Ovis aries: one gene and its partners. The main gene of each other region encodes a partner of the protein of the gene in region 5 in a complex. Links are inferred from orthologs where the notes say so. Each region holds a gene or a part of one and is shown on either strand. Other genes may lie near its edges. The genes, in order: E3 SUMO-protein ligase RanBP2, CETN3, NUP214, NUP160 and NUP153.

Region 1 (6,451 bases), on a different chromosome or scaffold from region 5:
CACATATAACCTCCAACAGCACACTGCAAATATGCAGCAATGCTCTCAAAATGAAGAAAAAAATTATTTCAAACCTAGATTTGACAACCCAATGAAACATTAGGTAAAGACATTTTTTGTCAGTAGAAAGGGTTTAAAATGGAGAAAAGTAGATCAACAAAGCAAGGATTAGGGGCATTGACCCTCTGCACAGTTGAAAATCTATGGATACTTAACAGTCGTCCCCCTGTACACACACACACTCTCCCTCCAGAACCCTGGGTCCTCCATATATATCCAAGCTTCCACATCTTCATATTCAGCCAACTGTGGATCCCATAGCACTGCTCTATGTATTCATTGAAAAAAAAACACAAAAAAACCCTTCATGTAAGTGGATCTGTGCTGTTCGACGAGCAACTGTAATATGTACATTACTCAGAAGTATGACATACAGATGTTTAAGGTAGAACAAATAACTAAGAGCTGTGAAGCTGCCTCTGAGAAGCAGGAAATCAGGGGCGTGGAGTAAAAACCTAGATATAAAACTAAGAAACTAAGATATAAAACTAGATATAAAACTAAGAAAAACTAAACAGAAGCCATCAGGGGAAAAAAAAAAGGAAATCATATTTTCAGTAAAAGCAAAAGCAGGTATTGGTTGTGTGTGCTCAGTCTCGTTCAACTCTTTGAGACCCCATGGACCGTAGCCCGCCAGGTTCCTCTGTCCATGGAACTTTCCAGGCAGTAATACTGGAGTGGGCTGCCATCTACTCTTCCAGAGGATCTTCCAGACTCAGGGATGGAACCTGCACCTCCTGCATTGGCAGGCAGATTCTTTACCAACTGCACCACTTGCAAAGTCCTAACAAAATCAAAAGCAGGTGTAAAGGACTAGAAAATGGCAAAACAAAAGAAGTCAAGAGATGAGTGGAAGCCTGGGAAGATATATGACTATGGACCCATCACAGCACTTAGTCCAACATTGCCAGTGTCTGCCCAACTGGGTACCAAGTACAGACACCCTAATCTTTTTATACTCTTCACAGCCACTGTCTCTGCTCCCTCTACCATCTCCCTCCCAACCTGGCCAAAGCACCATGTTCACTTACACCCACGATTATAGTATTGTCATGTGTTCCGAAGTTTTTGTTTATTTTGTTTCAGTTGCTAAGTTATGTCCGACTCTTTGGACCCCATGGGCTCTAGCCCACCAGGCTTCTCTGTCCATGGGGTTTCCCAGGAAATACTGGAATGGGTAGTCATTTCCTTCTTCATGGGATCTTCCCAACACAGGGATCAAGCCCAAGTCTCCTGTATTGGCAGGTGGATTCTTTACCACTGACCTACCTGGGAAGCCAGGAAGACCTAATATACTCTTACCAAAGTCTAATTTAAAAGTTTCACAGTTCATTTCTTGAGGTTAATCAGGATCCTGAGGGCAAGGGACCTTCCTACTCTGAACACCCATCCCCGATTCCTGGAGATCCACCCCAGGACCTCCTGAGAAGCAAGCCTTTATCAACTCTGCACCTGAGGCCTCCCTCAGTGTCCTATTTTAGTCTGTGTGCTTAATCTTTCAGTCGTGTCCAACACTTGTGAGCCCAGAGACTGTAGCCTGCCAGGCTCCTCTGTCCATGGGATTCTCCAGGCAAGAATACCCGAGTGGGTTGCCATTTCCTTCTCCAGGGGATCCTCTCGACAAAGGAATCAAACCCCAGTCTCCCGCACTGCAGGCAGATTCTACCAAGTTACAAGGGAAGCCCCATGAATCAACTGAAACCAAATAAAAACTTTGCTATTTTAGCACCAGATTTTAAACAGCTGAATCTGGGGATTCTCTTTACTCTCTGCTTCTCTAGAGGTCCACCTAGGACCTTGTCCTGCAGTGTCTCTCCAGGACACTGACTATCAAAGTTTTCTCCTGATGTTCATTAGCAATCCTTTAGCTTATGCAACAACTGTGACTCCAATCATAGCAGAAGCGCTTCTCCTGCAGGAAGTGGAATCGGTCCCCCATTGGCTGTCCCCTAACCCTCTCCTCCTGCCACCTGAAGCCTTTCTTCCTGGTCTATGTCCTTGAGATCCAGGTATCAGGCTGCTAAATATCAGGTAAAGTCCAACTATAGCTAGTTAAAGGATGTTAACTCCTTGAATTATTATTTTAAACATTTCTATTATGATTAAAGCACCTCTTTTAGGTCTTTATCTGGGACCCAAAGTTATCTACTGCACTTGCTAATCAATATCCCACTGAAGTCCCCAGGTTCAAAAGTCAATGATTTCTCCTTGTCTGAAGAAAAACATCTGATTATAATAACTCTTTATAAATGTAAAAGAGGTGACAATAATAACCAATCCTTAAAGTTTTGTGCCCACTCTTCTTTATTGATGGAAAAGTTCCCTAGTTCAAAGAACATTCTAATTCCTGTCTAGACAGTGGTTTTTAAGGCTTTGGAGAGCCAGGGTGCCCACTAAAAATTTCTTAAAAGCGCTTAACTTGCTTTAGAAGAAAAAAACAAAAAACAAAAAACGGCCACATCAGTTTCAGGGACAGAGAGAATGATTAATGAGCTCCTGTTTTTGACTCTGGTAGGTACATTCGTATTCACAGCTATGCCAGCAGCTGGAAGTTACAACCTGAAGGTTGGCACCTATTCCCCTCCTCCAGAGCCATAGGCTGTAACCCACTCCATACTCCTGAAAAAAAGAAATCACACCCACTGCCAAAATCCTGCTGGGTTACCATGTGCCCCCGGAAAAGTATCTTGAATTCCCCAGGGATACGGATGTCGGGAGCACAAAGTAAAATAATATATGCCTAGTATGTGGTAACCAAGACACTATTACGGTGCCGTTACAATCCTGACTGTTCGCTGGTTTTAATTTCCTCATACATCTTTATTCGCATAGGCTCCGGCCCAGAACACCTGGAATGACTGTCCCTGTAACAGCCACATCTACTGAGAGCTTACCACGTGCCAAGCACTGCCCTAAATGTTTATCATAGCCCATCCTAAAAACTCCTATCGATACCCTAACTCCCAACCTATTAATGAAATAAGCGGCAGTTGTCTCGAATCCCACAGCGCGTGCTTGGCGGAGCTGCGACTCGGCCCTGGGCAGCGAATCCGGGTCCGGGCCCCCTCCGCCCACCCTCTGGCATCAAGGTCCGCGGGATCCCCTGGGCACCCAGCTCCCAAACTACGCCGGAGATGGCAGAGTACCCCGAGAGACGTCGCCGGAAAGCCACAGAGTCTACTCCAAAAACAAGGCCCGGACGGAAACTCAGAACCCCCGGAACTCCGTTGAAAAACAAAATGCCCGGAAAGCAGCTTCCAAAGCGGTGAGTGAGAGGCGGCGGGGCGGCTGCGCCTCGGCGTGGAGCCCAGGACGCCCGAGCGCCGGGAACGAAGAGCAGGAAACGAAAGAGGAAGAAGAGAAACAGAGAGAGCCAACGCCCGCCCGCCGCCTCCCCGTCTCCCGCCCGCCGCCCGCCGCCGGCCGCCCGGCCGCGCCTCAGCGGGGGACATGGCGCCGCCGCCGTGGGCCCGCCCGGAGGCCATGGCCCCGGCCCGCTCACCTCCCGGGGTGACGGGGCAGAGCCCTGCACCGAAGCGATGTATCGCTCCACGTCGGCCTTGCTGCGCCTCATCTTGCCGCCGACTGGGCTCTGGATAACGAACGCCAGCGCCGAGGCCGCAGCGGCCGCCGTCGTCTCGGGAGCGCGCCGCCCGAAGGTCCGTGACGCAGCGCCGTCGCCGGAGAGAGGGCGACGCGCCTGCGTGGGTGCGTGCATGCGTGAGAGCTGCGTCAATCCTGTGCGCCGCGCAGACCCGCGGACGCCGGCGCGCAGAGGTGAACGCGCTTGCGCAGCGCGGGAACGCGAAGCTCGTGGGGTGTGTGACGCGGTTGAAAGTGCTTAAAGATGACACCTGCCGGTAGCAGCTTCGTCCGGAAATATCTCTCCCTCAGGCTCTCGAGCCGGACGCGCTGTTCCCGGTGCTGACGTCACGCCGCGGCGCCAGTCGGCTATATCTAAGCGCTCTTTTGGAATTTGAATTTTTCGGACGTAGTTTTAAGACAAGTTGTAGAAAATGTTTTCAGTAGTGAAAAGATCACATCCTGTGTATACAGGGAGTTCAGGATTTATGGTTATGGATACTTTTTATCCTTTTAAAATAGTTTTATTCAACACTTAGAGCTAATCTGGCCTCTTACAGGCTATCCTTTTTGATTTTTCCATTTTTCCAAATTTTCTACAGTGAGCAATTATTTTCTTTATAAAGAGGGAAACCATCATGGTGTGTTTTGTTTCAGGTTTGTTGGATGTGAATAAGGGTGGCTGGTCTGGGAGGGTACTTGGTCCAGACCCCAGCTAATGTTAACTAATCTAAGGGATGGTGAGGAGCGAGTCCCTCTGCTGGTTTCCTTGGTAAATAATGAGTCAACAGGAGGTCTGCTGCAGCTGCTAAGTCGCTTCACTCCTTTCCGACTCTGTGCGACCCCATAGACAGCAGCTCACCAGGCTCCCCCGTCCCTGGGATTCTCCAGGCAAGAACACTGGAGTGGGTTGCCATTTCCTTATCAAATGCGTGAAAGTGAAGTCGCTCTGTCATGTCCGACTCTTAGCGACCCCATGGACTGTGGCCCACCAGGCTCCTCCATCCATGGGATTTTCCAGGCAAGAGTACTGGAGTGGGGTGCCATTGCCTTCTCTAACAGGAGGTCAAGTCCTCTCTAATTGGTAGTATCCCTTTCCCCAAGGGAGTGAGCCTGCCCCTATGTCCTGCTACACACCTGGGGATGTTGCTCCAAGACCTCGCTTCAGGTGGGTAAGTTCCCCTCGCTTCAGTTCAGTTCAGTCACTCAGTCATGTCCGACTCTTTGTGACCCCATGAATCGCCACACACCAGGCCTCCCTGTCCATCACCATCTACCGCAGTTCACTAAAACTCAAGTCCATCCAGTCGGTGATGCCATCCCGCCATCTCATCCTCTGTCATCCCCTTTTCCTCCTGCCCCCAACCCCTCCCAGCATCAGAGTTTTTTTCCAATGAGTCAACTCTTCGCATGAGGTGGCCAAAGTACTGGAGTTTCAGCTTTAGCATCATTCCTTCCAAAGAACACCCAGGGCTGATCTTGCAGTCCAAGGGACTCTCAAGAGTCTTCTCCAACACCACAGTTCAAAAGCATCAATTCTTCGGTGCTCAACTTTCTTCACAGTCCAACTCTCACATCCATACGTGACCACTGGAAAAACCATAGCCTTGACTAGATGGACCTTTGTTGGCAAAGTAATGTCTCTGCTTTTGAATATGCTATCCAGGTTGGTCTTAACTTTCCTTCCAAGAAGTGTCTTAATTTCATGGCTGCAATCACCATCTGCAGTGATTTTGGAGCCCAAAAAAATCAAGTCTGACATTGTTTCCACTGTTTCCCCATCTATTTGCCGTGAAGTGATGGGACTGGATGCCATGATCTTCGATTTCTGAATGTTGAGCTTTAAGCCAACTTTTTCACTCTCCTCTTTCACTTTCATCAAGAGGCTTTTTAGTTCCTCTTCACTCTCTGCCATAAGGGTGGTGTCATCTGCATATCTGAGGTTGACATTTCTCCCAGTAATGTTGATTCCAGCTTGTGCTTCTTCCTGTTGCTTACTCTGGGCTTTTAGTCTTGAACCTGGGCAAGGCCTGTGGCCTGCAGCTCAACATCACATGTACTGACTTATTCTCCCAACAACTTAATGAAAGTACTGTTATTTGTTCTTATGCCCAGGTGGACAGATAGGAAACGGAGGGTGTGAACAGTAAAGCAACCTTGCCAAGCATACCTTGGCAAGCACATAAAATTACTGCCTTAATCTGTTTTAGTTGAATATACTGAAAAGGAGTAAGTGAAAGAGGAAGAGCACAGAGGAACTTGAGATGAAGAAACCCTTGATTTTGATCAGCAATGGATACCTTTGCTCTATGCTAGGTGCCTGTCAGTTCAATTAATTCAGAAGTTGAGGACTCAAGATTAATCAGGTAAAACTGGCTGATAAAAAAGTCATAAGCCAGGATGAGAAACTTTAAACATAGAGTTCTATGTGTCACTCTTGGCTTTCTCTCTCCCTCCCTAATGAGCAGTTTGCATTACACATTAACTGGACCCCCTCAAAGATGGGAGTGCCTGCTCCAAAGTAGAGGGCTTTTCTTTTAACTTTCTTGTGCGCTAGCAACATAACTTCTTAAAAGAATAGTGCTCCTTCCCACCTCTGCAGGGGGTTGTGGTGACCTGCTCACCTGGGTTGAGTTTCCTCTATTAACTTTATGCAAAATGTCAGTAAGTTATTTTGATTGATGATCCTTTGTCTTGAAAATGTGGAACGCAAAAGTAGAAAGTCGAGATAATTGGAGTAACAGGCAAATTTGACCTTGGAGTACAAAATGAAGCAGGGCAAAGGCTAATAGTTTTGCCAAGAGAATGC
Region 2 (6,511 bases), on a different chromosome or scaffold from region 5:
ATTGTCATTACTGTCTAGTGTGTAATTGCAGTTTTACTGTCCTTTTAGACTCAAAGGTGATTTATACTCTAAAATTTAGAGTTTTTAGTTCTGTTATTTTTTGGGGGGCTATCCTGTAGCTATAATTCTTAGCTTTACTTCATTATACCATCTCTGACTTTTTGCAACACTCATGGACTGTGACCTGCCAGGCTCCTCTGTCCATGGAAATCTCCAGGCAAGAATACTGGAGTGGGTTGCCATTTCCTACTCCAGGGGATATTCCCCACCAAGGGATCCAACTCAGGTCTCCTGCATTATAGGTGGATGCTTTACTGTCTGAGCTATTATACCATCTTTCAGTTTAGTTCAGTTCAGTCACTCAGTCGTGTCTGATTCTTTGCGACCTCATGGACTGCAGCACACCAGGCCTTCCTGTCCATCACCAGCTCCTGGAGTTTACTCAAACTCATGTCCATTGAGTCGGTGATGCCATCCAACCATCTCATCCTCTGTCATCCCTTTCTCCTCCTGCCTTCAATCTTTCCCAGCATCAGGGTCTTTTCAAACGAGTCAGTTCTTCACATCAGGTGGCCAAAGTATTGGAGTTTCAGCTTCAGTATCAGTCCTTGCAATGAATATTCAGGACTGATCTCCTTTAGGATGGACTGGTTGGATCTGCTTGCTGTCCAAGGGACTCTCAAGAGTCTTCTCCAACACCACAGTTCAAAAGCACCAATTCTTCGGCTCTCAGCTTTCTTTATAGTCCAACTCTCACATCCATTCATGACTACTGGAAAAACCATAGCCTTGACTAGACAGACGTTTGTTGACAAAGTAATGTCTCTGCTTCTTAATAGGCTGTCTAGGTTGGTCATAACTTTCCTTCCAAGGAGCAAGTGTCTTTTAATTTCATAGCTGCAGTCACCATCTGCAGTGATTTTGGAGCCCAGTAAAATAAAGTCAGCCACTGTTTCCATTGTTTCCCCATCTATTTGCCACAAAGTGATGGGACTAGATGCCATGATCATAGTTTTCTGAATGCTGAGCTTTAAGCCAACTTTTTCACTCTCTTCTTTCACTTTCATCCGAGGCTTTTTAGTTCCTCTTCACTTCCTGCCATAAGGGTTGTGTCATCATTGTATCTGAGGTTATTGATATGTCTTCTGGCAATCTTGATTCCAGCTTGTATTTCATCCAGACCAGTGTTTCTCATGATGTACTCTGCATATAAGTTAAATAAGTCAGGTGACAATATACAGCCTTGACGTACTCCTTTCCTGATTTGGTACCAGTCTGTTGCTTCTTGACCTGCATACAGATTTCTCAGGAGGCAGGTTAGGTGGTCTGGTATTTCCATCTCTTTCAGAATTTTCTACAGTTTGTTGTGATCTGAAAGTCAAAGGCTTTGGCATAGTCAATAAAGTGGAAGTGGATGTTTTTACCATCTTTACTTACCCAAATTTAGCTCATCCTTCTAGGCTTAACATATATGCCATCTCCTTCAAGAAGTCTTTCTTATACCTTCTGTGTTCTCTCTCTTCTCTAAACGTGTACATGTATCTCTTTATATTTATGCCACAGTTTTATATATCAATATCTTCCCTCTTCTGTTACTGGACACCTACTCTCTGGCTATTTCATTCCTTTTTGAGATTTGCAGTTTAGCTCAGTACTTTGCGATTTTTCACAGCAAGATTCCATTTAATGCAACAAATATCTACGGAGCAGAGGCATCAGACATTTACAACGAATCATACATTGTTTTAGGCACTAGGAATAGTGTTAAATGAAGGATATAAGCCTTTTAAGATTAGTAGGAGAGATGAACAGTAAAGATATTAAATGTCCAAGTGAGCTTTAAGAGACTTCGTTTGGTGGTGAAGATAACATCATGAGTATAAGCAGCTTACAGCACTCGAAAATAAAGGACAAAAACGAACAAACCAGTTCAAAGGAGGAATAGGGGAGCAAATGGCCCTTAGGTACAGCTTCAACCTTAAATAGCCTAATAATCCAACTCAGTGATTATCAAAATATAATCCGCAGTATCTGCTTCAGAATCATTTGAAGTTTGTATAAAAAAATGCAGATTCACACCTACTAGAAATTAGAATGAGTGATATTTAAATCTGCGTTTTAAACACACTCCCCATGTACTCAAACCATCCAAAAATGTACAATACAGTAGAGTCAAGTTTCGCAGACACAGTTCGAAAGCCGCTCCCTCCTTCTAGCCGGAGGAGAGCCTGCGGCGTATCTCATCCCTTCCCTTTCCACCGGGTCTCCGGACACTGGGCCACATGCCACAGCCTTTCTGGTCAGAAGCATAGCTCGCCACCTCCCACCTGAGTCCTAGCTTCTCTAGGATTGGGGTGGGGCGTGGGGGTGGGGCGGAAAGCAACAGGCCAATCTACAGGGGGAGAGGCGTAGCAGGGGATGCCGGCAGGGAGATCTATTTGATTGACGTGAAATAAGACCAATGAGAGCAGAGGACAAGTGACGCTTTCGCCTCAATGGGCAGGACGTTAGCGATTTCAACCAATCCAGCTCAGGAGTGTCTTGCTTTGTGGGAGGTTTTTGAGACCGCTGAGGGTCGTTGGCGTCTGTCGAACGGCTTGTGGAAGTCTTGCTGCTCTGGGTAGGGGGTTAAAATCGTTCTCGAGAGGAACGCCTCAGTCCGAAGAGAAAATGAGTTTAGCTCTGAGGTCGGTAATGAGGAGACGGCAGATGCACTCCACACCTCGCAGCGGGCCCCAGGGCGGTTGTGTGTGGAAGGGAAACAGCTGGGGGCCGAAGCGAGGAAGGGAATGCAGTTTGGGACGAGGGACGGGATCCTTGGTCAACGTTCCCGGGCCCAGACCCCTCCCCTTGGGGGCCCTGGTGAGCTCTGCACTTTAGCTGAGGCGGTCATTTCTGTCAGGGCACTGGCTTTAGACCGCCAAAAAGCCGGGCTGAGGTAGTCTTGAGGAGGCAGGGAAATATCGCGAGGTTTCAATGCGCGGTGTTTATGCGAGAAACCGGGAAACCAGGCCTTGGAGCATCCCTTGGTTCAGTGCCTTGTCCACGGCTTCCATCTCGGCCGACTTTCTGCTAACATGCGTGCTCAGTCGTTTCAGTCGTGTCAGACTCTTTGTGACCCTATGGGCTGTAGCCCGCCAGGCTCCTCTGGGTGTGGGTTTCTCCAGGCAAGAGTACTGGAGAGGATTGCCCTGCCTTCCTCCAGGTGATCTTGCAAACCTGCGTCTCCTGCATTGCAGGTATATTCTTTACCCACTGAGCCACCTGGGAAGCCCCCTACTAACATATTTACCCGTAAATTTTGGAAACAACGCAAAACCTCTCCTCTTTCTCCTGGGGCCCTGCAAAAGGGTATAATCAGAGGCCCCTTTTAGTGATTTTAGTTGGTAATCTCTTAGCTTTCCTAAATTTTCTGATTTTACTTTTCATTCATTTCCAACCTCTAACCCACTGTTTGTTGCTCCCTCTCCCAACCACAACTAAAAGTTTTACCTTAAAAGTGTTTATGTAGTTACGCTTCAGTAAAAAGGAAGCGAGTTCTGACGAGGAAATGAGGTCTACTGTCGGTGGGTTGTGAACTTTGGTCTGGTCGGAATCTTGGGAAGAGAATAACCCCCGGAGTTTCCAAGTTTTTGTGAATTCAGGTCTCTTGTGAAAGAAAGAGCTTTATCATAACCTCATTTGGTCATTTTCTAGTCATCTCTTGCCTTTTTAGAGTAGATTTCACAGAATTAAAGAAAAGTCAACTGGTTTTTACATTTTTAAAGTTTATAGAATTCTTGTTTCAAAGCTTGTACAAGTGTTGTAAGCCCCATATGAAAATTTGAAATGCTTATATTGGCACCTCTTAAGGAATACATTTCTAGTTTTTAGAGTAAATTACGTTTTGTACTTTAAGTTTTTTCAGAGTTTGTGACAAACTGTCTAGATGTACATGCTGAGATTTATGAGACAGTTGACTCTTCACCTTATATATAAATAAAATACCACAAATATTAAGTACTTTTTTGGTGTTTGATATTCGTGGTATGCTTACGTTCATTATTTTGGCTGATTTGTTAATATCAATGGGAGAAATTACAAAAAAGTGCCAGTTTAAAATGTGTAGTCTAAAAATACTAGTCTAAACTGTGCCAAAATAGTTTGTAAATTAATTGATGAATTAGATTTTTTGGCAATAATTTTGATAATTCTAAGCACTATGAAAGTAAACCTAATATATAGAGATCAACAATTGTGAATTGAATTCTTATTTTTTAAAACAGTCTGTATTGTAGAATGATGAGAATAAGTATGGGTGTTTGTTTTTTGTTGGGGTTTCTGACAGAACTGTTTCTTTTTCACAGTTCTTGTTTCTTCCACAGTAATATTAGTGGGAATGAATACAAAGCTAGGAAGAGGAAAAGCTAGGTCCTCATTTCTTTTAATAACCTTTTAAAACTGTAAAACTTTTCAGTTTTAGGGAGGTACAAATTTAAAGCAGCTTAGACAATGGATTGAGCAGGGCTTTGATTCATGTAAGGAAATTTTTTATAAAATACTTTTTAGAAGTTTAAAACATTCATTGGCTAATTTTTTTGTTGCATTTTTGGAATTTTATCATTTAGAAGCATATGACAATAGGATTAAAGTGGACTAAATAGACTTTTTTCTTATCATTCCATAGAAATGACCTTGTAGTAGACAAAACAAAGAGGAAAAAAAGAAGAGAACTCTCTGAAGAACAGAAACAAGAAATTAAAGATGCTTTTGAACTATTTGACACAGACAAAGATGAAGCAATAGATTATCATGAATTAAAGGTAATACACTTAAAATATATCTTTTCTATTAAAACATTTTGCATTTTTGTCCACTGATTAAAAATGCATTTCTAAATATTTTAATTGAACTGGTTTTGGAAATGTAAACCATTTTAAACATTTACTGTTAAGCTAAGCTGAGTCACTTCAGTCGTGTCCGACTCTGTGTGACCCCATAGACAGCAGCCCACCAGGCTGCCCCATCCCTGGGATTCTCCAGGCAAGAACACTGGAGTGGGTTGTCATTTCCTTCTCTAATGCATGAAAGTGAAAAGTGAAAGTGAAGTTGCTCAGTTGTGTCCGACTCTTAGCGACCCCATGAACTGTAGCTCACCAGGCTCCTCCATCCATGGGATTTTCCAGGCAAGAGTACTGGAGTGGGGTGCCATTGCCTTCTCCAAAAGTTGAGTAGTACTTGTATCTTTTTAGAAACTCCTTTTCACATGGTAAAATGAATAATATTTTAAATGTAAAAATATATTCCTATAGAGGGGCTTATTTTTCATTCACATAATTAAAATATTTGAAACTGAAGGATTTAAACAGTCTAACCATATTCCTCTTCCTATTGTATGTTTTTTTTTTGTTTTTTTATGACTCATTCATTTCTCAGATTGAGGCAGTGTTATTTGTTTTCTAATTTAAACATGTTAGTAACAGTCTCAACCTATTTTCTCTTATTCAGATGATATAAGTGGTGTCTGATGTTGATGCAGTGCTAATGGGGAAAAATATCAGTTTTAAGTTTTAGAATTTTTTATAAATAATCAAGGGGAAATTGGTGTTTAAGATAGTTTGGATCTTAAACTCAGCACAATGAGTGAGGTAGCATCCTTGTGGCTCTTTAGCTTACTTTCCCTCTGGTTTAGTTACCTAGCTTTGATCAGCTCTTCCTTTATTATGGGCTTCCTTTGTGGCTCAGCTGGTAAAGAATCTGCCTGCAATGCTGGAGACCTGCGTTCGATCCCTGTGTTGGGAATATCCCCTGGAGAAGGGAAAGGCTACTCATTCCAGTATTCTGGCCTAGAGAATGCCATGGACTCTATAGTCCATGGGATTGAAAAGAGTCAGACGGGTCTGAGCAACTTTGACTTCACTTCACTTCCTTTATAATGTCTCTTCTGTTTGTGGCCATTCTTATTATCTTGGTTTGTGATTTTTTATATCTGGAACTTGGTTTCTCCATTTCCTGTACACTGTCATTAGATTCATCTTTCTAAAATTCTTTCATGTTATTCATTGCTCATAAATACTTAGTGGCTCGTCATTGTACACTAGATAGAGTTCAGGTTTTTTTTATTTGCATTGAATGCCTTCCACACTTTTACTACCACGTACTTTTCTCATTTGCTAACTGCTTTTTTTCTACCTGATCTTTCCCCATTCAGGTAAGGTAAAGTGCTCTGTTCACTGTGTTCAAGCCTATTGTGTATTTCTTTGTGTGTTTTAGTACTAGTCATTCTTTTCTAAATGCCCTTCTACTCCACTTCATCCAACTTGTATCTCTCCAATAAGACTTCTTTAAATAATAACATCCCTTCTTCTTTGTTACTATTAACTAGATCTTTTCTTTTTCTAAGCTCAGGATCGTGACTACTTACTTGATAGCAGTAAGTAGTTGATAACTTACTTGATAGCAGTAAGTAGTTGATAACTTACTTGATAATTAATCATGTTGAGTAATTCTTATTTTAATTTTTTAATCTCTT
Region 3 (5,957 bases), on a different chromosome or scaffold from region 5:
TTTTCTTTTAGAAAGTGAGACTCGGGAGAGGAGTGGGCCTCAAGTGGTCCACATCTAAGTGGACAGAACCGTTTAGGAATCACTGCTCCAGACAGAAAAGACAGAATGAAATCAACAACCTTTTAAGTGCCGCACACAGACTGGGTTTAAGATGCCTGGTATGCTTTCAGCTCCCGAATATCCCTCTAGCAGATTTTAAGAGATCCCTTTTTTACCAAAAAATGTTCATCACTTGGGCTGACACACAGAAAAGCACTCGTAAAAGTACATGCTGAAGGAAAAGTTGAAAGATGGTCATTGTCTTATTTATTATAGGAAAACCTGGAAAAAGCCTGAACCGTTCAAGAGGGGGATGGTTAAATAAATTAGGGCACATCTGCATGACAAATTATGTAGCCACTAAAAATGACATTTAAACAAGACTCTCACTAATACTGGAAAACTCACAAGGATTGTGTTAAATGAAAAGGTAGAAGCAAAAAATCCCAAAAGGAAATAGAACTGAATGGTTAAGGGTACAATGTGTAATTCTAGAACATATTACTTTAATAAAAAATATAAACACTTTTATAATAAAAGCTTTCTTTTTAAAACAGAAGTAAACTCAATTACTTTGAACTGAGAACTTGAAGGCACTTAAAAAATACATCTGGTTTCTGATAGGTCCTCAAAGTCTTTTAAACATTAAAAACATGCTGGTAGATGTTGGTCTGAGCGTCCCAGCTGGCTCAGTGATAAAGAATTTGCCTGCAATGCAAGAGACTCAGGTTCAATCCCTGGGTTGGGAAAATCCCCAAGAAAAGGAAATGGCAATCAACTCCCAGACAACCCCATGGACAGCAGGAGTCTGGCGGGCTACAGTCCATGGGGCTGCAAAAGAGCCAGGCCTGACTCAGTGACTAAACAACAACAGACGCTGGCAGATCTGCACCAGCGTGCGCGGGACAAGTGTGTCTCCCGATAGGTTATCAAGGAAAGAAACACGAGTTTAGTCTTTCCTTTCTACAGTACTGCGTGTGTGTTCAATCACTCAGGCCTGTCGGACTCCGTGGACTGCAGCCCACCAGGCTCTGTCAATGGAATTTCCCAGGCAAGAATACTGGAGTGGGTTGCCATTTCCTCCTCCAAGGGATCTTCCCAACCCAAGGATTGAACCAGCATCTCTTGCGTTTCCTGCCTTGGCAGGTGGATTCTTTACCATTGCCTATCTCAACCTACAAATTGATACAATTTTGACTTCATTTAAAAAATTTTTTTAAAACAAAACAAACAAAAAAAATTTTTTTAAATTATGAAAGTATGATAACACTCTACAGGAAACTGGGAAAATACAGAACAAAGTTACATATAGTTTCACTACATATTATGATTATTAAAAATTGATATAATTTTAAATACCATATGACAAAGATGGAGAAAGAAATTTTAATTTGCGTGTAAACATTCACATTTAAAGCACAGCCTTGCCTTTCTAAAAGCAAACCCTTTCTGAGTTTTTAACTATGAAGACAAAAGTCATTCCCCACAGTTTCTTAAATCCAGCCTATTTCTAATGCATAATATCAACACCAAGTTCACTGCAGATACTTTAAGCAAAATGCAGCAGCAAGTAAAATGTCAACCAACCTGCCTCCCTCAAACCTGCACTTGTTTAGAGGGAAACACGAAAGTGAGGCGACTCAATGCAGAGACTGTACCTTGTGTGGCAGTGAAGTTAGAAGACGGTGTTGGTGTGACTATCCCAAAATTAAAGCCAGTCCTAGGGGTGGAAGAAAAGAAGTTAAAAACGAACAGACTTAAGGCGCAACACTGCCCTTTAACAGTACATTTATAATCCATTCACATAATCTACTCTCAGGGACTTGCAATCTATCGATAAACATCAGCAAGCGCATTGCCTCTGAAGCAGCAGCGCAGAGCTCTCAGAGCGTGGGGGGGAGCGATGTGTGGGTGAGGTGAGAGGGAAGCAGCCAGTGAGGAGGCCTTGGAGGAACAGCCAGGCTTCCCATGGTAGAGGGGGTGGGGACCTATTTCAAGGAAAGTGAAGGAGCACTAGGACTGTGCCTTGGGATGGTGGCTGGAGCGGTTGGCTCGCCTAGTGAGGCGGACGGGATGGGCTAGGTGAGGAGGAGCCTATGACCCACCCAGGGAGCACGTCAGGACAGCGCATGCCACTGGGGGAGACAACAGACAGTATGAAATGGAAGCCACTGTCTTTGCTGTTCGGACAAAACGCTTAGTCCTCGGCTGGGAAATTTGGTTCAGAAACTTTAAAAAAAAAATTTTGGTTGCACCAAGTGGCTTGTGGGATCTCACTTCTCTGACCAGGCACTGCACACAGCCCACAGAAATGAAAGCGCTGTAGCTGTACCCTAACCACTAGGCCACCAGGAAAAGTCCCTCAAAAACCTATCTGATTCTTTTCATCCTCTCCTCTCTTTCTGTACATTTTCTTCACCCTGTGAGTGAAGACAATATAAGCAAAGAAGAAAACTCAGCACCAGCTGAGCCAGAATGGAGTACTCATTCTGAGAAAAGTTCAAATAGCAAATTAAAAACTGTTGGATTGGTCAAAAAGTTCATTTAGGCATTTCTGTAAGATGTTATGGAAAACCCCAAACGAACTTTTTGGGCAACCTGATAAAAAGCCGAGCATATCAAAAAGAGTAAGTAACAGTAAAGAGTAGAGTTGGGTTTTTTTTTAAACTCGTCACTGGCTTCATCAAATGGTCCAAGACCACCTAAGATGTGTTAAATATTTTATCATCTTAAAAAAAAGAAAACAAATCTCTTTCTTTGTCTCAACTCTGGTGAAGAAATTTGATGTAACAGAGGTAAGCAGCTGACCTATGACCCAAACCTCTGTAGGTTATTTTAAAGACGGGAAGAAGAGTATCAGGTTCACAGAAGTAAAGATTAATTAACAGATGCGGTAGCTCCTGGAACTGACCTACTCTCTAAAACTGTGCTCCAAACTACCTTTGGGGAGTAGAAAACTAATGATTTACAGGAAAATATATATGATTTCCCCCTTAAAATTCTATTCTAACACCCTCCTTTCTCGTAATGTGTTAGGCTGAAGGGTGTTCAAGAAACAAACTCACAGCAGGGAAAAGAGACTGTGGTCAGTGTGATTCCAGTTACAAAAGCATAAACTGGAAGAGCTTAAGAGACTTTTCTAGTGGAACTGAATGTGCAACCCTTCACAGTGAAAACAATCTTTGGATGAGTATTTATCTCAGCCACACAGAGACTAACTCCACCCCAAAGAAGAGAGATGCTCTGCCAACTCTCACAGGTTTCATGATGAGTGTTCGCAGGATAGTGAAAAGGTATGCCCCCTCCAACGTTAATAAGAACTTCCTTTGGACTGAGGGTTAGAAGACCCTTTTGTTTTTAAAAATAACTCAATTTGACAAGTACAGACATCATCACTTTAAAAAAAATGAAACAGAAATGGACTTCCCCACATCTATATAAAACCCCAATTCTTAAATGGCCACTGTCTTGATTGCTCAGCAGTCTAGTATAATGTGACCTCTCGGGGCAGCGAAGCCAATCCAAGGTCTCACCCAGCCGCCAGATGGTGTCAGAATGAAAAGATCTCGGTGTGATAAACTAGAGCAACCACAGACCCACTACCCAAACAAGGCTTATCCTAAACAACAAAACAAACAAGCCAGTAAGAACACACATATAAAACTGAATCGAAAAGGGCAAACAGATTTACATTAGGACACTAAGCTACTCCCACTATCATTAAATGTGTCACTGTGGAGATAAGAACTCTGGCTTCATATAAGTATACCCGCTGACTATAAGATTTGGAGAAGCAATCTATAAGGATTTTGTGATCTGCCACAAAACTTAAGTTTACAACTGACCCTGATGAAAATGAGAAAGGCTTGCTGAACTGCCCAACAGTAGACGGGGTAGAAGTCACAGCTGTTTCTATCTTGGTTGCCACTGGTCCTGGAATTATGGGAAAAAAAGAAGAGCATTACAAAAAAACCAACACCATTTTAGTTTAATTCTCTGTGGCACTGAATGCTTAGTGCCACGCAAAGCGCAGCCCCAGGTCACGTGCTTCCTGTAGGTCAGCAGTCAAGGGGAGAGTGAGGACTCGGTCGTGCTCAAGGTCTCTGAATGGGCTCTCTGGCCCTGTCAACTGTCAATTTCAAACCAAGGCATGCCACTTTACCCTTTCCAGGAAAGACATCAAAGTAACTGGAGTGCAGGTCAAATTTAAGGCTTTAAAAGTAGATTCTGCAATTAATGAAATGTGATACATGTCAAAGGAAAAGAAACTCCAAGGGGAAACAGGTCATGTGAAACATCTCTGAGTAGTGACTTCACGGCTGCTGGCTTTCTCGCCGCATCTGTTTTTCCAGAGACTTCTTGTATTACTATTAGTTAATAACAGGTCTGCTTCTTTATTTTTTATTACAGAGGTAACACGACTGCTGTCACACAGAGAAGAGTGGAGAGTTAAAGTGTAGCCCGTCGTCTCCCCACATGTGGTGTACTGTGGCTGCTCACTAACAGGCTGGGGCAGTACCCACACTCTCCCCCCCACCTCTCCCTCTCCTTCTAAAAGGAGAAGAGGGCTGGGGGAATTACACTCGAGAAGCCCAAATCAAACCAACCCAAACAATAAGAAAAAGCATCTTCTGTTTACATGAGTATGGAGTAAAGATTTGCAAAACTATCTAAAACACTACTATAATACAACGTGATGCGGACAAGGATGTCTAGTGCAGCCTTACTTATAATTCTGAAAAGTTAAGAACAATCTGAACTATCAGCAGAGTATTGGTAAAAACTGAACAGGGTACAACTGTACAGCGAAGGGATTAAAATGAGACAGGCAGACTTATACCAGACCTGAAAAGATGAACATGATATTTTCCTGGGGGAAGGGAGGAGAGGGGACAGATTACAGATCAGTATATACAGGATATGGCTATCTTTGTTTAAAGAAACCAACAGATATACATCAAACCCCAAGACACATCAATTCTTTGAGGGCTATTATCTCTGGAATAGGGAACTTACAAATTTTCTACATTATACAGTTCCACACGGTAGACTTTTTGTGGTCCTGTAAATGGCAACCCACTCCACTGTTCTTGCCTGCAGAATCCCAGGGACGGGGGAGCCTGGTGGGCTGCCGTCTATGGGGTCGCACAGAGTCGGACACGACTGAAGCGACTTAGCAGTAGCAGCAGCAACAGCTTTAAAATCAGGAAAACAATGAAGGTGTTTCCATTATTAATTAATAAGGGAATTATTCTATAGAGGTTTCAGAGATGACTTTTTGTTTTTGTTAGAAGTTTTTGCAAACTCTTAAATAGTGTTTTTCAGGGAAATTTTCCTGCTAAAAAAAGTCTGTTTCTGGCAAATAGAAACAGAAGGACATCTAGCAATGAGAGTGAATATTTCACAATCATCATTGAATGATGAATCTTAGAAATTTCTTTCCAAGTCATGCTAACTGCCCCTGAGATGTTCTTGACTCTTAATTTCAAGAGTGACAAAAAACTCTCCAATAAAATCCTTGAAAGAGGTTAGGATATATAATCTTTCAAACTTTCTTCTAAAATATTAGCCAGAAATGGAAACAAACTTCTTAATTTGAATCCTAAATGATTCAAAAGTCTTTGACAACTGCACTAAAATTTCCCTTCTGAGTTAAAGTTTTAGCTCCTAGTCGAGAAGCGCTACATACTGCCTTCTCATGGAAGGCTTATATGATAAAAACTGTGCATTAGTCTGAATTCTAGAATAGAGCATTGGCTACACAATGGTTTCCATCTGAGTGCAAGGAATATTTGCTGAGGATAAACCCAGTATCCAATGAGAAAGCTTCTGACCACAGAGGAAGGTGGGATGACAGCATGACTATGTAGAGATGACGGTAGGCAGGCTCCTCATGTGTGAAGTTCAGCGTCTCTGAC
Region 4 (5,957 bases), on a different chromosome or scaffold from region 5:
CAGCTCCGTACTCTGCCTCCCTGTCCATCCTCGCCTTTTAGCCACCAGCCTTGTGTTGCCAGACTGCTGTGCTTGTCTCTCCCCCTCCTCCCCGCCTTGAACGTTTCACATTCCAGAGTTAACCTGTCTTCCCACCATCAGTTCAGTTCAGTTCAGTTCAGTCACTCAGTCATGTCTGACTCTTTGCGACCCCATGAATCGCAGCACGCCAAGCCTCCCTGTCCATCACCGACTCCCGGAGTTCACTCAGACTCGCGTTCATCGAGTCAGTGATGCCATCCAGCCATCTCATCCTCTGTCGTCCCCTTCTTCTCCTGCCCCCAATCCCTCCCAGCATCAAAGTCTTTTCCAGTGAGTCAACTCTTCGCATGAGGCGGCCAAAGTACTGGAGTTTCAGCTTTAGCATCATTCCTTCCAAACACTCATCTGAGCCTGACAAGGAAGCTATCTGATTAAACTAATTCATATTGATATATAAATAAACTGAAAGCCCTTTGGAGCTCCCGGGGATGTTTATACTTTTTAAATCAGAATTCATTAACTCAAGTACATGGCTAATGGCAGAATTTCTGGTAAAAGATAAGGAGAAAACATTCTGGAAGATGATTGGTTTAGGACCACCAAGGAGAAGCAGGACCCTTTCCTGAAAGTTGTCTGTCTCTTTGCCTCACAGCTCATGGGATCTTAGTTGCTTGATCAGGGACTGAACCCAGGCTTTGGCAGTGAAAGCCCAAGTCCCAGCCACTGCACCACCATGGAATTCCCTTTGTGGTTTTGTTTTTTGAGTTTGTATTGTATTTTAATATTTATTTATTTGGCTGCATCCAGTCATAGCCGGTACCTTTGGGGTCTGTTCCCTGACCAGGGATTGAACCCATGCCCCTAAAGTAGAAGCGTGGAGTCTTAACCACCAGACCAATAGGGAAGTCCCAAAGCGACACACGTTTTTAAGGCTACTGATATTCTTGTCAAGCTTTCCTCTAATGCTCGTATTTATTTTACCCAAAACAAGAAGATTAAGAAATGTCTTAGATTTCCCTGTTCCTCTTCTTGGTGAAAGTTAAGCAGTCTGTTACCGTTTTCTTTTTCGCCATCAGCTCCTGTGGCCTGGTGAGCTGTTTTTGTTATTTTGCGCTGATAAGTGGGTAGATCCTTTTGCTGCCTGCTACCCCAAACGCAATGGGTGTGTCGCTTTTACGTATGCCCTTTGTAACTGTGTTATTTCACCGCCACCTGAACCTAAGGGTTATCCTTACTAAATACTATTTCCTGTCTCACCCACCCACCCATGACATACAGGTAATCTTGGGAGCTGGCCAGCTCTTTCAAGCCCAGCAAGACCTACTGCATCGAACAGCTCCCCTGCTCTTATCTTATTACCTCATTAAGTGGGGAAGTCAGTGCTTGGCAACTGATGTTCCAGTTGACACCTTGTGAGTTTCCGTGTTCTGATTATTTTAGAAATAAATTGTGAGCTTGATGATTCTTTTCCACTGTCTAATAGAAAAGCAAATTGAATATTGTGCTGCAGCAGGATATGCCTGTGACGCTCAGAGCTTTCAGATAGCTCCATTATCTAAAGGTTAGAGGCAAGTTATAAGAATGAAAATGATACAAGAAGAATGAAAGCAATAAATATGTATTATTATTATATGTGTGTATGGATAATGTAGAGACAAATCCTGTGGAAAGCGAAAGAAGAAGATGAGGTCACTTTGCTGTATGACTCGGAGCTCAACCTGGTGCTCTGTGACAACCTGGGAGGGTGGGATGGAGGGAGAACCGGGAGGGAGGGGACATTTCTGTGCCTGTGGTTGATTCATGTTGACCTGTGGCAGAAGCCAGCACAATATTGTAAAGCAATTATCCTTCAGTTAAAAATAAATAATTTTTTTTTAAGTTGAGGTCACAGAGAAAGTTAGGCCACGTACGAAAATATGCTAATTATCAAGAGTAGACTGAGATTCTTTATAACCAAAGTAAGAAAGAAAATTTAACGTGTGCCTAACAGACTGACACTTCAGTTAGATAAGCCACTTTGCTTAAAAGGACAGGGAAGTCTTTTCATGGCATGGAGGCCTAAGCAATTTTTGCCCTGGCTTCGTGAAGGATCGCGGGGTGACATGATGGGAAATAATCTAAGCCACAGCTCACTTTCCAGACACTTCTGTGCTCTCAGTGGCGCAGTCATGTGCAGTTTATTAGTGAAACTGACAGCGTTTTAATCAGCTAACTGGTTGAAGTAATGTTAGCATAGGAAAATTTATTGAGCTTTTTTGGTTTTTCCCCCTTTCCTCACAGGGAGTCTAATCTTCAACATTTATCAGTACTGGAACTAACTGACTCTGGTGCTTTAACGACAAATAAGTTTGGTAAGGATTGGACTGTGTGTGCATTTGATTTTAAGTTTGGCATTTATTGAGTGTCCATTAAGGTGGTCTTTTGCCGCCTTGCTTTAGCAAAGGTGCCTCGGCTGTGCTTTCAGTTTGAGAGGGTGTGAGCAAGCTGTGTCCTGAGACCTCTCTGGTTGTGACAAGTAGTATCAGATCAGACAGAAATGAAGAGTGTTGCCTGTATATATGCACACGTGTGTCCCCAATCATGTCCAACTCTCTGTGACCCCCCAGGCTCCTCTGTCCATGGGATTTCCCAGGCAAGAATATTAGGGTAGGTTGTCATTCCCTTCTCCAGGGGATCTTCCCAACCCAAGGACTGAATCCATCTCTCTGGTATTGGCAGGCAGATTCTCTACCACTGAGCCACCTGGGAAGCTGTGTGTGTGGGTGTGGGTGTGTGTGTGTGTGTGTGTGGTGTGTGTGTGTGTACCCCCAGTGGTTAATCATTTTTTTAATTTACTAAGTTCGTATAGCTTTTGTAATCTTGTCTCCATCAGCAGATATTCAAAAGGAGTCCTCTCTCATGCTTGAGAACCATTCTGGAGAGTTTATTCTGTGTTTTGGTATAAAATTTAGACTCTTAGGACTATGTTTATTGGAAACACTTTGAGAGGAATGGCGTGACTGTCATGTTAATTTAGTGGCTCTTTTATTGTATTTGTATAGTACTTCATAGTTTACAGATTGCTTTTATTTATATTGCCATTGATTATACCAGTGATGCGTTTTACGTTTTTAAATAATGTTCTTTGTGACAGGCGTAAAATGAATTGGTAGGCTGTCTTAATTGAAAATTGATACTACTGTCACAAATTGGTGACTGTTAAAACTTTTTATTTTTAAGTATCTAGCCCTCAGACAATTGTGGAATTATTCTTCCAAGAAGTTGCAAGAAAACACATTATATCTCATCTGTTCTCTCAACCAAAGGCGCCTCTAAGCCAAACTGGATTGAACTGGCCAGAGATGATCACTGCAGTTACCAATTATTTATTGCAGCTCTTGTATCCTTTCATTTAAAAGCTAATTGAGAGGGGTTTTTTTCTATCCAGATAGTCTAAGATTCAGGAATATTCTGCCTGTGTAATGAAAAATTTTAATGAGGTTGGATGTTTACCACCCTCCCCCTCCCCATCCCAACGAGAAATGATAGTTATTTTCAGGTATCCCTTTTTTTTTTTTTTTTTTTTTTAATTTTTTTTTTGCTCAGGGGTTGAGCCACATTTTATTGGTGCACATACAGTTAATACCTAGGTTGCTTTTAAAGCATACATTTATCAAATATTTATTGAATGGCTTTGTATGCCAAGCCCTGTGTTAGGTACTGAGTATCCATTGGCCTAGTATGCTTGGGCAATATCCTAGCTAAAATCAGAAGTGAGCACCAAGAGGTGAGATACATGCCTTAGTTCTTAGCTGGTTGCATTCTAATGCAGGTGGCCAGGCTCCTAGTGTATAACCTTTCCACTGTGTTTAATATTAAAGCTACATAGTTGTGTAGGAAGAACATGTGTTGTACCACCTTCTATTTACCTTCTTTTTAAAAATTAAGCCATTTCATGGAGTTTGGGTGCTCAGTGTGTATATTTAAGCTTTACCAAAACAGTAAACAGTTGCCTTAACCAATGACTAGATGGCCTAGCAATCCTGGTTGTCTCTTTCTAGAATGTTTGATGGGAAATTGTCAGTATGTACAATTGCAGGTGAGTACCGTTGAACATTTCAGGACAGTTATTTTTGTAAAGAAGGGGATTTCTGGAACTTTTTTCTTTGTAAATGTTTCTTGAATTTTAATTGGGCTGATAAGACCCACATTAATTTACACTGGATTACATGGAAACATACACCAGAGAGATTTTCTTTACTTCATTCTTGGCAGTATCATTCCTAACACAGTGTTTTATGAAGTACTTTTTTGTTAATTCTCTCTATTGGGATCTCTTTATAGAAAGAAAACGTATCATTGTCTTCATATAAATCCTTCACTGGAATCTAGTCAGTTGAGCCAGTAAATACCAAAAGTTGGAAGATTGCCAAGATGGAAAGTGTGTTTGTTTTCGTGTGATAGTGTTATTAGAGTCCAGTTTGCTTTCTTAGCGTGTCTAAGAACTTATTAATAATTTAAGAATGGATTAACAGGGTTTGCTTTTAACCTCCAGATGCTTTCTGGAAATACAGCTTTTGTGTTGAATGACCACTATCTTCTCTCCCTCTGAAGAACATGGAAATGAATATCTCCTTAAGGGACATTTATCTTCTAATCAGAAACCACCTTTTTGCCTTTAAGGATTATATTCAGTTGCTGCATCCCTGGTGTCAAGTCAACGTTGGTTCCTGCCGATTTATGCTGGGACGATGTTACCTGGTTACGGGAGAGGGACAGAAGGTAAACTGCATCTGAAAGATGAGCAGACTTTAGAGCAAGGAGGACACTCAGTTTCCATCTCAGGGAGGGGATTGGAGGCCTAGAATCCTCCAGATAAGGGTAAAGAAGACTAACAGTGCCAGCAAGGGGCATGATCTACCCGTGGGGACCATTTAGCTTCATGTACTTTACAGATTGTTTAGGACACAGGAAAATATGAAGAAGAATACTTTAAAACCCTCCTGCCCCTGTGCAGTGCTTATAGGGATACATTTTTGTGACGAAAATATTTCTCAGATACATTGTTTTTATAGCATGTTTTTTTATGCTGGTTTTTTTTTTCCCATTATGGTAGTTTACATTTCTAATTTTTTTCCCTGACATCCTGTTATGTAAACTTTCAGACATAAAAGTCCAAAGACTTTCATACTAAATCCCCCACTCAGATTCTACAAAAATTAACATGGTGCTATAGTTGCTATATCACTGGTATCCATCAAATATCCTCTTAAAGTTTACTTTGTAATTAGCAACATTAAATTAAAAAGTTAGATAAATTAAAATATTAAATAATGCATCAGAGAATTTAGATACAACAAACAGTAAATGCAGTCATTTACTTACTTAAATAATTTTCTTTCTTTTTTTCGGCTTTTCTCGGTATAAGAACTCTTGGCTCATATTATCTGGAAGTGGAACAATCTATTATAAGTCATTTTGTATCCTTCTATTCCTTCAGGCTCTGGAATGTTTCTGCCAGGCAGCATCCGAAGTGGGCAAAGAGGAATTCTTAGATCGCTTGATCCGTTCAGAGGATGGAGAGATTGTGTCCACCCCCCGGCTGCAATATTATGACAAGGTTCTGGCATGGTTTGGTCCTTCTTACACCACACTGGGTAAACATGTAACAGGGGCAGGGAGGCAGATAAATGAGTGTGGGGTTAGCATATACACTTGATATATAAACTAGGTAGACGAGGACCTACTCTGCAGCACGAGGAGCTGCACTCAGCGTCTTGCAGTTCCGACCCCGCCGGGTCTCTAGCTGCTCGAGGGCGCTCCAGCTGCGTCGAGCAGGGGCCCCTGTGCTTGCGGTGCTCGGGCTTCCCACCGCAGCGGCTCCTCTTGTAGCAGCGCGCAGGCTGCAGGGGCGCGGGCTGTGGTTGTGCCTCAGTGGCTTAGCTGCATGTGGGGTC
Region 5 (5,957 bases):
TGACATGACTGATGCGACTTAGCAGCGGCAGCAGTGTGTGTGCTTTTGCGTGGCCTGGTAGTCATCCCAGCATACACACAAAAAGAATGAAATTTTGCTACTTAAAACAACACGTAGAGGCTTGAAAGGAGTATGCAAAGTGAACTAAGTTAGAGAAAGACAAATATTGTATGAAATCATTTATCTGAGGAATCCAAACAATGTAACAAGCTATTGAATATAACAAAAAGGCAACACACTCAGACGCACAGGAAGAACTTCTGGTTGTTAGTGGTGAGCAGAAAGGGGGAAGAGGCAAGACAGGGGAGAAGTTAAGGGGTACAAACTATTCTGTATAATGTAAGCTACAAGGATATATTATACAACATGGGGAACGTGGCCAATATTTTACAGTAACTATAAATAGAGTATATAACCTTTAAAAATTGTGGATCACTATGTCGTACACTTAAATAATACTGGTCATCAACGAGATCAATACAAAAGCAAAAATAAAAGCCAATAAAAAAACTTAAAAAAATTATGTGGTAAAATTTCAGATACTGAGAAATAGCCAAAGTACTTGAAAAAACAAAGTAGTTATATACAAATGGGAGAAGCAAATATTAACCATGAGAAGAAATCACTAAGGCTAGGAAAAACAAAATGTTGTCTAGGAAAGAAAAATCACAGTATATCATACAATGTTTGCATATTTAACATAGTGATCTAACCACACAGTATCACTCTATTAGAACTGAAGGCATTCCTAGCTGTGTGAAAGAGAGCTAAAGTCTTCAATTTTGTATTGAGGGGTTGGGAATCATTAAATTCTGATTAAAATGATTATCATGTGTCACAGAACAGAAGAAATTTTGCTACATGTACTAGCTAACAAAATACTAACATTCAAAATACATAAAGAATTTCTACAAATCAATAAGCAGAGCAAAATAACCAATTAGTATTAGGGACCCAAAAAATTACAGAAAGAATTCACAAAAAATGAAATCAAGTAGCATCCAAATATGAGGATCTTCATTTAATGCTGGAACGATGTGAACTGGCACAATCCATCAGAAAGAGTGCGTATAATCTTGTGATGTACTAAGATGCACGCAGAGCTGCATGTTCTGACAGCTAAGAACAACTCAAACTTTCATCAACAGGATACGGATGGTCCAGTGGTTAAGAATCCACCTGCCAATGCAGGGGACACGATCCCCGGTCCGGGAAGATACCATGCGCCATGGAGCAACTAAGCCCGCACTCCAGAGCCTGTGCTCCACAGCGCGAGAAGCGACTGCAGTGAGGAGGCCGAGCCCTGCAGAGGAGCCTCTGATCACTGCAACTAGAGAAAGCCTGAGCGCAGCACCGAAGATGCAGCACAGCCAAACATACATAAATACATACATATGTAATAAACAAATCATTTATTTAAAACCTGCACCTGCCTTGTTAAAAAACAAAACAAAACAGAGTGCTTAACTGTGTTGGGAAGAGAGTTGGGAATGCTGTTTATAGGTAAATCTAAACATACACGTCTCTATTCTGCCAAGTACAAGAGATCGAAGAAAAGAGATGTGCATGGTTTCAAAACTCAAAGAAAAAAAACTGTACTGAAGACATACAAAACTCAAGTAGGGATACAAACTACACCATTACTGCATACTTACTGGAATTAGGAGCTGTTCCAGAGCCAAATGCAGACTGACTAGGCTGCTGCCCAAACACAGGAGGCTGTCCACTGCTTGACACTGTCCCAAAAGTAGGTGGTGCAGGCTGAGAACCAGCAGAAAATAATGCCCCTGAAGATGGTATAGATCCAAAACCTGGGGGGTTAGGCTGGCTGGCACCTTGACTTTGTCCAAATGTTGGGGTCTGGTTAGCACCAAACGCTGGACTGGCAGATGGTGCTGAAGCTCCAGTGCCAAACACAAAGGAGGATCCTAGAGACCCAGAGACACACTTAAATCACCACGGATGGTTAAACAGATAATCCTCAATTGTCTGTAAACTGAAATGCACATATCAAGATTGTTTGCAGACTCTTACCTTGCTGAACAGACCTTATCAGGACAAGTTTTGAATAACTGATGAAGAAAATACAATGCTTGCTACCATTATTTAGTAAAATCATACAGAATCCATAAAAACTGCAATTAACAAGATTCCTATCTTGCAGCCAAAAATGTTCAGGTCTTTAAATATCTAAGAAGACAACTGATCTCCTATCGGAAAGGCAACATAGTGCAGATACTGACTATTATGTGATCATGTATCCACTGCATAAAGAGGACTAACGTCTAATAAAATAATCTTCAGTGTCTGGTTATTTACACTAAAAAACACTTGAACAAACTAAAGACACTCTTAATGAGATGAGAAAATTGCTTCCAAGAGTTCCTTTCAGTTCAGTTGCTCAGTCGTGTCCAACTCTTTGTGACCCCATGAACTGCAGCACACCAGGCCTCCCTGTCCATCACCAACTCCTGGAGTTCACGCAAACTCATGAACATCGAGTCAGTGATGCCATCCAGCCATCTCATCCTCTGTCATCCCCTTCTCCTCCTGCCCCCAATCCCTCCCAGCATCAGGGTCTTTTCCAATGAGTTAACTCTTCACATGAGATGGCCAAAGTATTGGAATTTCAGCTTCAAAATCAGTCCTTCCAGCGAACACCCAGGACTGATCTCCTTTAGGATGGACTGGCTGGACCTTCTTGCAGTACAAGGGACTCTCAAGAGTCTTCTCCAGCGCCACAGTTCAAAAGCATCAATTCTTCGGTACTCAGCTTTCGTCACAGGCCAACTCTCACATCCATACATGAACACTGGAAAACCCATAGCCTTGACTAGACAGACCTTTGTTGGCAAAGTAATATCTCTGCTTTTGAATATGCTATCTAGGTTGGTCATAACTTTCCTTCCAAGGAGTAAGCATCTTTTAATTTCATGGCTGCAATCACCATCTGCAGTGATTTTGGAGCCCCCCCAAAATAAAATCTGACACTATTTTCACTGTTTCCCCATCTATTTCCCATGAAGTGATGGGACCAGATGCCATGACTTCATTTTCTGAATGATGAGCTTTAAGCCACCTTTTTCACTCTCCTCTTTCACTTTCAGCAAGAGGCTCTTTAGTTCCTCTTCTCTTTCTGCCATAAGGGTGGTGTCATCTGTATATCTGAGGTTATTGATATTTCTCCCGGCAATCTTGATTCCAGCTTGTGCTTCTTCCAGCCCAGTGTTTCTCATGATGTACTCTGCATGTAAGTTAAATAAGCAGGGTGACAATATACAGCCTTGATGTACTCCTTTTCCTATATGGAACCAGTCTGTTGCTCCATGTCCAGTTCTAACTGTTGCTTCCTGACCTGCATACAGGTTTCTCAATAGGGAGGTCAGGTGGTCTGGTGTTCCCATCTCTTTCAGGATTTTCCTCAGTTTATTGTGATCCACAAAATCAAAGGCTTTGGCATCGTCAATAAAGCAGAAATAGATGTTTTCTGGAACTCTTGTTTTTTTGATGATCCAGTGGATGTTGGCAATTTGATCTCTGGTTCCTCTGCCTTTTCTAAAACCAACTTGAACATCTGGAAGTTCATGGTTCACGTATTGCTGAAGGCTGGCTTGGAGAATTTTGAGCATTACTTTACTAGCGTGTGAGATGAGTGCAACTGTGCAGTAGTTTGAGCATTCTTTGGCATTGCCTTTCTTTGGAATTGGAATGACAACTGACCTTTTCCAGTCCTGTGGCCACTGCTGAGTTTTCCAAATTTGCTGGCATATTGAGTGTAGCACTTTCATAGCATCATCTTTCAGGATTTGAAATAGCTCAACTGGAATTCCATCACCTCCTCTAGCTTTGTTTGTAGTGATGCTTTCTAAGGCCCACTTTCACATTACAGATGTGTGGCTCTAGGTGAGTGATCACACCATCATGATCACTGGGTTGTGAAGCTCTTTTTTGTAGTTCTCCTGTGTATTCTTGCCACCTCTTCTTAATATCTTCTGCTTCTGTTAAGTCCATACCATTTCTGTCCTTTATTGAGCACATTCTTGTCCTTTATCCAGGCAAGAATACTGGAGTGGGTTGCCATTTCCTTCTGCAGGGGATCTTTGCATGGAATGTTCCCTTGGTATCTCTAATTTTCTTGAAGAGATCTCTAGTCTTTCCCATTCTGTCATTTTCCTCCATTTCTTTACATTGATCGCTGAGGAAGGCTTTCTTATGTCTCCTTGGTCTTCTTTGGAACTCTGCATTCAGATACTTATATCTTTTCTTTTCTCCTTTGCTTTTTGCTTCTCTTCTATTCACAGCTATTTTTAAGACCTCCTCAGACAGGCATTTGCTTTTTTGCATTTCTTTTCCATGAAGTGAAGTGAAGTCGCTCAGTTGTGTCTGACTCTTTGTGACCCCATGGACTGTAGCCCACCAGGCTCCTCCGTCCATGGGATTTTCCAGGCAAGAATACTGGAGTGGGTTGCCATTTCCTTCTGCAGGGATCTTCCCGACCCAGGAATCGAACCCAGGTCTCCCACATTGCAGGCAGACGCTTTAACCTCTGAGCCACCAGGGAAGCCCCTCTTTTTCATGGGGATGGTCTTGATCCCTGTCTCCTGTACAATGTCACAAACCTCCGTCCATAGTTCATCAGGTACTCTATCAGATCTAGTCCCTTATATCTATTTCTCACTTCCACTGTATACTCATAGGGGATTTGATTTAGGTCATACCTGAATGGTCTAGTGGTTTTCCCCATTTTCTTCAATTTCAAGTCTGAATTTGGTAATAAGGAGTTCATGATCTGAGCCAGTCACTCCCAGCCTTGTTTTTGCTGACTGTATGGAGCTTCTCCATCTCTGGCTGCAGAGAATATAATCAATCTGATTTCAGTGTTGACCATCTGGTGATGTCCATGTGCAGAGTCTTCTGTTGTGTTGTTGGAAGAGGGTGTTTGCTATGACCAGTGCATTTTCTTAGCAAAACTCTTAGTCTTTGCCCTGCTTCATTCTGTACTCCAAGGCCAAATTTGCCTCTTATTCCAGTGTTTCTTGACTTCCTACTTTTGCATTCCAGTCCCCTAGAATGAAAAGGACATCTTTTTGGGGTGTTAGTTCTAAAAGGTCTTGTAGATTTTCATAGAACCGTTCAACTTCAGCTTCTTCAGCATTACTGCTTGGAGCATAGGCTTGGATCACCATTATATTGAATGGTTTGCCTAGGAAACGAACAAAGATCATTCTGTTGTTTTTGAGACTGCATCCAAGTACTGCATTTCGGACTCTTTGGTTGACCATGATGGCTACTCCATTTCTTCTAAGGGATTCCTGCCCACAGTAGTAGATATAATGGTCATCTGAGTTAAATTCACCCATTCCAGTCCATTTTAGTTTGCTGATTCCTAGAATGTTGACATTCACTCTTGCCATCTCCTGTGTGACCACTTCCAATTTGCCTTGATTCATGAACCTGACATTCCAGGTTCCTATGCAATATTGCTCTTTACAGCATCAGATATTGCTTCTGTCACCAGTCACATCCACAACTGGGTGTTGTTTTTGCTTTGGCTCCATCCCTTCATTCTTTCTGGAGTTATTTCTCCATTGATCTCCAGCAGCATATTTGGGCACCTACCAACCCGGGGAGTTCCCCTTTCAGTATCCTATCATTTTGCCTTTTCATACTGTTCATGGGGTTCTCAAGGCAAGAATATTGAAGTGTTTTGCCATTCCCTTCTCCAGTGGACCACATTCTGTCAGACCTCTTCATCATGACCCACCTGTCCTGGGTGGCCACCAAGGCATGGCTTAGTTTCACTGAGTTAGACAAGGCTGTGGTCCGGAATTATATTAAACTCAAAATGTACTTCATTCCACACTGAGTAATTACAACATCCCAGCTAGAAACGACCTAAATGCAGCCATGCCTTCTTGTGATATTATACACTAAGAGATCATCTACTTATAATGAAA

Evidence for each region.
Region 1: NUP153 (region 5) and E3 SUMO-protein ligase RanBP2 share a complex: the UniProt entries of both Homo sapiens proteins name them as parts of the nuclear pore complex. The link is inferred for Ovis aries from reciprocal best matches to the Homo sapiens genes NUP153 and RANBP2.
Region 2: NUP153 (region 5) and CETN3 share a complex: the UniProt entries of both Homo sapiens proteins name them as parts of the nuclear pore complex. The link is inferred for Ovis aries from reciprocal best matches to the Homo sapiens genes NUP153 and CETN3.
Region 3: NUP153 (region 5) and NUP214 share a complex: the UniProt entries of both Homo sapiens proteins name them as parts of the nuclear pore complex. The link is inferred for Ovis aries from reciprocal best matches to the Homo sapiens genes NUP153 and NUP214.
Region 4: NUP153 (region 5) and NUP160 share a complex: the UniProt entries of both Homo sapiens proteins name them as parts of the nuclear pore complex. The link is inferred for Ovis aries from reciprocal best matches to the Homo sapiens genes NUP153 and NUP160.

Annotation. Positions count from the first base shown.
Region 1 is NC_056056.1:62,034,471-62,040,921, reverse strand, and holds the start of E3 SUMO-protein ligase RanBP2, read right to left. Parts: upstream 3,526-6,451; 5' UTR 3,513-3,525; coding exon 3,207-3,512; intron 1-3,206. UniProt on the Homo sapiens protein: E3 SUMO-protein ligase which facilitates SUMO1 and SUMO2 conjugation by UBE2I. Involved in transport factor (Ran-GTP, karyopherin)-mediated protein import via the F-G repeat-containing domain which acts as a docking site for substrates.
Region 2 is NC_056058.1:87,598,664-87,605,174, reverse strand, and holds the start of CETN3 (centrin-3), read left to right. Parts: upstream 1-2,543; 5' UTR 2,544-2,670; coding exon 2,671-2,687; intron 2,688-4,666; coding exon 4,667-4,802; intron 4,803-6,511. UniProt on the Homo sapiens protein: Plays a fundamental role in microtubule-organizing center structure and function. As a component of the TREX-2 complex, involved in the export of mRNAs to the cytoplasm through the nuclear pores.
Region 3 is NC_056056.1:5,536,222-5,542,178, forward strand, and holds part of NUP214 (nuclear pore complex protein Nup214), read right to left. Parts: intron 3,973-5,957; coding exon 3,885-3,972; intron 1,760-3,884; coding exon 1,698-1,759; intron 1-1,697. UniProt on the Homo sapiens protein: Part of the nuclear pore complex. Has a critical role in nucleocytoplasmic transport.
Region 4 is NC_056068.1:76,462,517-76,468,473, reverse strand, and holds part of NUP160 (nuclear pore complex protein Nup160), read left to right. Parts: intron 1-1,299; coding exon 1,300-1,433; intron 1,434-2,301; coding exon 2,302-2,372; intron 2,373-3,240; coding exon 3,241-3,400; intron 3,401-4,029; coding exon 4,030-4,099; intron 4,100-4,683; coding exon 4,684-4,782; intron 4,783-5,500; coding exon 5,501-5,620; intron 5,621-5,957. UniProt on the Homo sapiens protein: Functions as a component of the nuclear pore complex (NPC). Involved in poly(A)+ RNA transport.
Region 5 is NC_056073.1:39,069,404-39,075,360, reverse strand, and holds part of NUP153 (nuclear pore complex protein Nup153), read right to left. Parts: intron 1,929-5,957; coding exon 1,656-1,928; intron 1-1,655. UniProt on the Homo sapiens protein: Component of the nuclear pore complex (NPC), a complex required for the trafficking across the nuclear envelope. Functions as a scaffolding element in the nuclear phase of the NPC essential for normal nucleocytoplasmic transport of proteins and mRNAs.